2 linked regions of the Daphnia pulex genome follow. The protein of the gene in region 2 interacts with the protein of the main gene of each other region in a biochemical or structural test. Links are inferred from orthologs where the notes say so. Each region holds a gene or a part of one and is shown on either strand. Other genes may lie near its edges.

Region 1 (3,923 bases), on a different chromosome or scaffold from region 2:
ATTTGAGTCGGCAAACAACATCTAATTATTGGTTCTTAATTAAATGCAGATAAGGGATAACTTGCAATTCTCTTTCCACAATAATAGGCAAGAACGATGTTTTTCCGTCACACATTTTCATCAAATCAACTAATCTGTAATAAGTAATGTTTTTCTTCACCGCGTTGTGAATACTGACTGGACAACAATACACGAATATAACGCCACGCGTAAAAAGAACCGCCATATGGTTGGCTTACGAGATAAGGAAAATTCTTGGAAAGAATGCTTAACAATTGGGAATAAAAAAGAACCTTGGATTGTTGGATAAAACCTGGAAGACGAAAAAAACTGGATAGGGTTTCACTGTTGCAGTTGGACGTAATTAGCGGGAAATAATCCTATCTGTCCTCTACACTCCCCTCGCCACCAACCTTCATCGATCTGCACAGCAAAAGAGTTGGTTAGAAACTAAACACATTTTATAAATTAATAAACATTACCATTTCGATGTTGACAATGACTTCATCCGGGTCAAAGGAGAGCTCGTCTTCTGCAGCAGCTTGGTAATCGTAGAGGGCGACTGCAATAAGACCGGATCCAGTTTCTTCCGCAACTGTTTCTAAATTCGAATTCTCTTGGACGTAGCCTATCTCTTCTTCGTCTTTCCAGGCGTCATCCTGCTCATCCACTTGCTCCCTCCACGCTCCATCATCCACTTCTTCGACAGCTTCGGCCAGATCATCGTTCCATCGTTCAAGGGATTGCGCGATATGTTGTTGAGTTTGTGCCGGAACAGGTGGAACGACAGTCGGTGGAGGTGAAGGCGACCTAGCAGGTTCTGGAACTGGAGAAATCACAGGACTTTCTCGGATGACTGGCTCTGGTATAACAGGCGACTTGGCTGGGAGGAATTGGTTTTGTCGGACAGGTTTTTCTGTTTGGGGGATTTGTTTAATGGGTGGCTCTGTTTGAGGCGTCGACTGTGTTTCGAATTTGTGTGCTATCTTAGCCATTGGGCGGGGATTCTTCGGTGGAGGAGGAACAACCTAAAGAAATGAAAAATGATGTAATACATTTGTTTGTAATAAGAAACTATCAAACGTTTACCATGGCTGCTTTCTTGTTTTCTTCAGCAAAATTTTCAAAACGGGATTTCAGCAAAGACGCTTTACCTTTCTCTATGGAACCAAATGAGTTTAATAAATTCAAACCAAGAAAAACTTAACGGAAATTTTTATTGTTACCCGCAATAACTGGCTTATCCTTCTCGTAAGTAGTACCAACATGACCTTGTTCTTCATCAAAACCGACGGCCGCTGCATCTTGTCTATCTGTTTGAACACCAAATTTTCCTCCGAAACCTTTTGAACCATCTACTTGGCTCTCATGTTTCTCTACTTTTTCTTGGTAATCATAACCAACAGCACTCTGTCACAAAAGATAAATTAAGAAATTAGTTGGATTACAATAACATTGCATTGGTAGGTTATACTTTATCGACTCGATCAGCCTGGACACCAAATTTACCACCAAAACCTTTATTTCCATCCACCTGACTTTCATGTTTCTCCACTTTTTCTTGATAATCCCAGCCAACTGCACTCTAAAAATTGCACTTCAATAGAAAAAATTCCTTTGTTCAAACAGTTATAGAATTTGTTACTTTGTCGATGCGGTCGGTTTGTACGCCGAATTTCCCACCAAAACCTTTGGAACCATCTGTTTGACTTTCATGCTTTACCAACTTCTCCTGATAATCCCAACCAACAGCACTCTATTTAACCGATCCAAATAAAACGTGAGAAAATAGTGGGCATAACTGTAAAGTAACTGAAATAAAACAATAATGCGCATATTTTAATGAAATACCTTATCAACTCGATCAGTTTGAACTCCAAACTTGCCGCCAAACCCTTTGGCAGCATCTGTTTGACTGCCATGTTTTTCAACCTTGGCTACATAGTCATGCCCCACTGCAGACTTATCCATCCTTAATAAACAATAATAGTAAGAAATTGGAAAGATGTACAAAAAATGAATCCTGTTCTTACCTGTCCTTTTGAATGCCATATTTCCCACCAAAACCAGTGGTGTAATCTTTTTGAGAAGCATGTTTTTCAACTTTTTCGATATGTTCATGCCCGACTGCACTTTTATCCATACTGAAGAAACAAAAACAAAAGTTGATGAAATTCACATTTTAGTTTTCTAAGAAAAACATACCGATCTCCTTGTACACCAAATTTTCCACCATATCCATAAGATGCTTGAGGTCCTGCAGCCATTACCTTTTTCTTGAGCTCCAGATCTTCTTTAGTCGTTTGCTCTCGTAGAGCATTCATACTGTAAACATTGACAGAAACCGTTAACGTAAATACACAATGTCTTGAAGAAAACATTTATGCTCACTCAATAGCACCCGCAGTTCTTCCCCCACCCCATCGTTGTTCTTCTTCTGTTACGTTGTTAATATAATTGGGATCGGTATCCCATTCATCGTCATCTTGGTTGACAACAGGAGCCTTGATGCTGGAACCAACTGCTGATTTCCACATGTTATTACAATCTAGAGAGAAAAATAAATTTTAATTTAAAATTATTTGTGATAATTAATGATCTCTCTGACGTACAAATTCTTTAATAAATAGATATAATACTAATTTAAACCGGCTAAAAGTTGAGTCACACGCCCTTTCTATTTGATAAGAAGTTAAACAATCCGGATAGTTTATCTTGCAACAATGCCATTCGGAAATGAATTTTAAAAACTTATTTTTATTTCGTCATAAAATCTACTAATAATAATTAAAAAAAAAATTTAAATTGTTTCTATGAGTATAAAAGTGTAAATATCATTAATGAAAAGTTTGAAATATGATTTGGCGCAGCATAAAGATTCAAGCATGCACCATGCAGTCAATGCAGACGAAAACAGTAAACAAGAAATCATCAAACTGATTGTGTTGAGGCTTCAAACATCCTGAGAAAATGTCGACGAGAATGTAAGTCAAGAATTTCAAAGCTTAATTGGGTTCACTCAAAATTTATAATTAGTTACGATTAAAAAATCTAAAAATGTAGATATCCAGCTTTCAAAAGCGGTAGTCCTAAATTACGGGTGTTCCTACCTGACTTTTGGATGAAGCTTGTCAAACCGAGCCACAATTTGCTACCTAATCAAGTTCAGTTTGTTGTCTCATCACAAATGACCAAGCTTGATGTTAAACAATATCTTGAAAAAATTTACAACCTCCCTGTTGTTCATGTCAGCACCTACAACCAAATGGGTACGACAACATTATTGAGGTTAAAATAAGTGATGTTTTACTAACACTTAGAATAATTTTCTTTAAAGGGAAAACAAAAACTTTACCCAACACTTATGTCACTAAGGAAAATGATGAAAAAATAGCCTTTGTAACTCTGGTAATTTGAAAACTTATCTTGTTTAATGTTTCTTCAACTGTAACCATTTTGTTTTGTTTGTTTTTTAGCACAAAGACCACAAATTTGTCTTCCCAGAAATTCATGGCAGTACTGACATTTATGATGAGCAAACTAATACTATGAAACAGACAAAAGAATTGTATGCCCAGAAAACAAGCATTAATATTTCTAAACAAGGAGTGCCTACATGGTTTAGTCATTGAATTTGTAAAAAATTTGTTAGAATACAGTAATAACATATGGTTTATTTATTATTTTATTTCATTTGTATAAGATAAAAAGAAACTCCGGGTAGGCCTATGGCACGGTATTTGGTGGGGGGGGGGGGACTTATTGAAAATATTTTGCTTCGGAAAAAAAAGTGGCAGAAAGCAGAAAAGGGATTCCATAATTTTTCATTAACGTTGTATTGTATTACCCATTAACCCGAAATATTGAATAACTTTTAATAGTCTACATTTTTTCTCGTAACGCCAAACAAATAAGAACCAGAT
Region 2 (3,923 bases):
GGCTGAGAGCAACGCAGCCTGATAGGTTTCCGGACAGATGAAGATGGATCCGTACTGCCGTTCCAATTGGTTGAGAGTCGATTGCTTTTTACCAGCGGTCGCCGCAATCTCATCGATGTAGTCGGCCTGATGCAACCACAGCAATTCTTCGCGATCGGCATCTCGAGCATCCAGCCGGTGGCAGCGCTCCAACACTCCGAATTCCATCAATTTCTGGTAGATTGAAGTGATTCTAGCAGGTCGCTCCGGATGTCCACTGCAAAAGATATCGTCAAACAATTCCATAAAAATAACAAAGAACTCGAAACAATTTAAAATTCAACTTACGGTTCGTTGATATTACGATGCAAAGCCATTCTTTCATCGTAGATGAAACAAACGCGATGCTTAGGCACTGCCAAGCTCGTTTCTAAAATAATAAACAATTACAGTTAATTAAATTGTTATTTAAAATTTGTAATCATTCATGTCACCTTTAATGAGCTTATCAAGGCGCTGATCCAAGAGGTCAATCGTCTCATTGCTCTGCACTGGGTAGCAGTTTCGAGTGGCAAACAATGTTTGTTTGACGTCAGATCCTTCAAAAGTGACACTGGGTACAAAGTGCTTTCCTTCCTTTTGACTACCCACTTTTGAAGCATCAAAACGGCCCTGGAACTGTAGACATTTCCACATAGGGCGAAGCACATAAATAGCGCTCAAAATACTTTCCTGAATACTACAATAAGAGAAATGATGCAGCCCGCATTATATTCGTCAAAAGAAATCGTTTTACCTTTGACAAGGCTCTTCGACTTTTGCAATGACTGGGCAAGGATCACCAAGCAATGTTCGCAAGGTCAGAGCAGCTCCTTCGGCTAAGGATTTCAAGCAGTACCCTCCCTAAAAATAAACACATAATTAATGACCAGCACTAGGGTTTGGTCAGAGTAATAGATGAGTCAGCGGATTATACTTCGAGAACGACAGCCAGTTTGCCTTGGGCCAGCCCCATGAGTGATGACGTCAAGTGGGAGTAGCACGCGGGAGTGATTTCCATTTCGCCCTAAATTTGACAAAAGGCGTTGACAATATTAGTCACCGCATATCTTCACAATTCCTTCAGAAAAAGGTAGAATATAAAATAAGAAGAGAACAAATGTTGGACCTTCTCGTCGCCTAGTGCCGAATCGAAACCAGAGGAGACGAGAACAAGATCAGGGCGGAACTATTGCCATGCAAATCACAAGAAAAGAAGAAAAACAAAAAGAATAAGTAGGAAGTCTTGTACACTACCTCGAAACAACCCAAGGCAGCGTCATAGCCGGCTGATACAATAATCAACTCTGGTTGAAACTGAACAAGATGAAGCGCGTTTTTAAATTACAAGCGTATTTAACCATAGTATTAATATGCATTGAACGATTTGAATAGATGAAATGAAACATGGTATCAAGATGAGTTATTACTTCATAAGCCAGAGGCAATAGCAGCTGGTGCCAAATGGCCAGATAGTCGGCGTTACCCATTTTCGTTTTATTCAGTGGCACGTTCACGTTAAAGCCTTTGCCAACTCCACTTCCAATGTAGTGAAAATCGCTTTCACGAAGATTGGGCCAAAAAGCTCCGTGCTCATAACGATGAACCGAGAAATATAAGACTCTGAATATTCAATAAAGGTAACCCTCACATAGAATTGATTCAGTGCATGTGATAAACTAGATGCCTTTTTACCTGGGGTCTTCGTAGAACATTTGTTGAGTTGCCTGGCCATGGTGAACATCCCAATCAACAATCAGAATTCTTTCAACACCCTTGTTATCTAATGCATGCTGGGCTGCAACTGCTACATTGTTGAAGAAACAATAGCCACAATATTCACTTTTCATTGCATGGTGCCCTGGCGGTCTAAATAAATCAGTTTTGAATTGAAACAAAAGAGAGGAGTAAAATTTGCAAAGTATGTATATTACCTGATTACAGCCATTCCATTTTGTATCTTTCCATCCAGTATGGCATCAACCATCTCAACTGTTGATCCAGCTGCCAACAATGCTAGCTCATTTGTTGATGGATGAATGTAAATGGCATCATAACCTGAGCTGATAGCTTCTAATGCTTCAGCATCTGGACTGCCATCTGTTCCTTTGAGCAATTCAATTCTGTCTGGTGTGTGAAGTTTCAACAGCTCATCTTGAGTTGCCTTTCTAGGTTGAATTTCTACACAGCGTTGAGCCAACCCATATTCACGGCATCTGCAAGATTTTTTAACCATTATTTCACCATAAGCAGTTTAAATTTCAGACTAGGTATATAACTGATAACTGACCTTTCCAAAACCCGAGTGAATCTCTCTGGACATTCAGGGTAATTGGGATCCCAAAGACACTGGTGTTCAACCATCCGTTCATCATAAACAATTCCTGTTTGGCCACGTATCTTATCTTTAGAATCCCGAGTCTACAAGAACAGAGTGATACATTCATCAACATCTAGCTTCAACATTATCCAAATTAAACAACGTTTAACAGTCTTAACCGTCCTTACATTTTGCAAGTGATCCACAAACACATTTAATTTTTCATTTTTTTTATTCGATGGTGAGCGACCTTTCACGAAATTCGAAAACTTTGTTTGTTTACTCATTTCGACTTGTCTTGTGGGACTGCTAAATTCTTGACTGCAGCCGCTGACAGAACTCAAGTGCAAGTCAACAAACAAGCTCTTGAGTGAGACATCTGGTGAGCGTCGGTTAAAACAAGCTCACACTTATTATACCGATGCACGAACGAAGTTTGAATTGCCTATCGAAATATGAATATACGAGGTAATTCTAAACTACTGCGTTATTTATTTATAACGGTTTCTTATTAAATCAAATTATTAAATTCCAATTTCCAAAGAAACGGGGTTTACCGTTGAAATGTGATTTATGCTATTAAAATTGATTACAACCCCTTTAAGTAAGACTGTGTCAAGTTACACTCATTCACGACCGATATAAAGCTTAATTTTTAATCAGTTCAGATGATTAAATAATTAAGTCAAATCAAACAACATACCGAGTACTCTCCTAGCAGACGAACGGCATGCGTTTGTGGAACGACATCTGAACGACATCCATTTTCGAAGACGAAACAGAACAAACTGAACAAATCATCGCACAATTTCTTCTCTAGAGTTCGTCAAATTAAATAAACGAGACCAAACATAATAGAGAGGAGGACGTTTTTATTTGTCAAGAAAACTTAAGTTATATGTGTGTGGTTAGTCACAGCTTTCTCAGTTTTCAGGCTTTTTTACGGGTTTATGAAAGATGACGCCATATTCAATGATTAACAACATAATCTTTATGGTTGAAAAGTTAATCCCTTTCGTCGGTGGTATTTAGTTGCAATCAATTGGTCAAATTACAATTTCTCTTAGCAACATAAAGTTTTATTCCCTCGGGTTCTCTTCGGCTCTATGAAATTCTATCCCCTCCCACTCTTTCTCACACCCTTTCAAGTTTCGTTTTCTATTCGTTTTCAGCCCCTTACCCTTCACCCTTCAGTCTGCAATTTTGCTGATGCTGGGGTCTGGGAAGTGGGAAGTGACTCAACACTCAAGTGAGAGCTGGCATTCGCATTTCATCTTTGTTGAGAATAACACGTGTTTGTAACAGTCGCCATTTTTCTACGTACTGAGCCATGCAGTCGTCAGCGGACAATGTCTGTCTCTCTGAATTACAAATTTCAAAACTTGATTTAGAATGGAATGTTCAAGTGCCATGTCTAGAAACTGTTGCGGCGTGGATGGAACCTCTGGAATCAACGTTATTTTCAGCTAGAGAAACTCCTGATCGTCTGTGGAAGCTAGTACTGTCTGATGCGGGTACAACATTAACTGTACAACTATTTCTTACAACTCCCGGATTCGCTAACTTCAAGAGCGTCACGGCTGTC

Evidence for each region.
Region 1: the proteins of histone deacetylase 6-like (region 2) and src substrate cortactin-like form a complex in vitro, tested with the Homo sapiens proteins (3 studies listed by BioGRID and IntAct, with this or other methods). The link is inferred for Daphnia pulex from reciprocal best matches to the Homo sapiens genes HDAC6 and CTTN.

What each region holds. Positions count from the first base shown.
Region 1 is NC_060023.1:10,192,817-10,196,739, reverse strand, and holds the start of src substrate cortactin-like, read right to left. Parts: upstream 2,734-3,923; 5' UTR 2,613-2,733; intron 2,549-2,612; 5' UTR 2,538-2,548; coding exon 2,392-2,537; intron 2,326-2,391; coding exon 2,206-2,325; intron 2,145-2,205; coding exon 2,034-2,144; intron 1,973-2,033; coding exon 1,852-1,972; intron 1,757-1,851; coding exon 1,646-1,756; intron 1,586-1,645; coding exon 1,475-1,585; intron 1,411-1,474; coding exon 1,227-1,410; intron 1,161-1,226; coding exon 1,090-1,160; intron 1,029-1,089; coding exon 483-1,028; intron 424-482; coding exon 343-423; 3' UTR 1-342. Other genes in the region: 39S ribosomal protein L23, mitochondrial-like, read left to right, coding at 2,971-2,984, 3,064-3,269, 3,338-3,408, 3,477-3,632.
Region 2 is NC_060025.1:1,311,154-1,315,076, reverse strand, and holds the start of histone deacetylase 6-like, read right to left. Parts: upstream 2,709-3,923; 5' UTR 2,626-2,708; coding exon 2,527-2,625; intron 2,440-2,526; coding exon 2,309-2,439; intron 2,235-2,308; coding exon 1,953-2,234; intron 1,888-1,952; coding exon 1,714-1,887; intron 1,642-1,713; coding exon 1,449-1,641; intron 1,336-1,448; coding exon of another isoform or gene 1,276-1,335; intron 1,208-1,275; coding exon 1,148-1,207; intron 1,046-1,147; coding exon 956-1,045; intron 883-955; coding exon 776-882; intron 719-775; coding exon 474-718; intron 410-473; coding exon 328-409; intron 257-327; coding exon 1-256. Other genes in the region: speckle-type POZ protein-like, read left to right, coding at 3,669-3,923.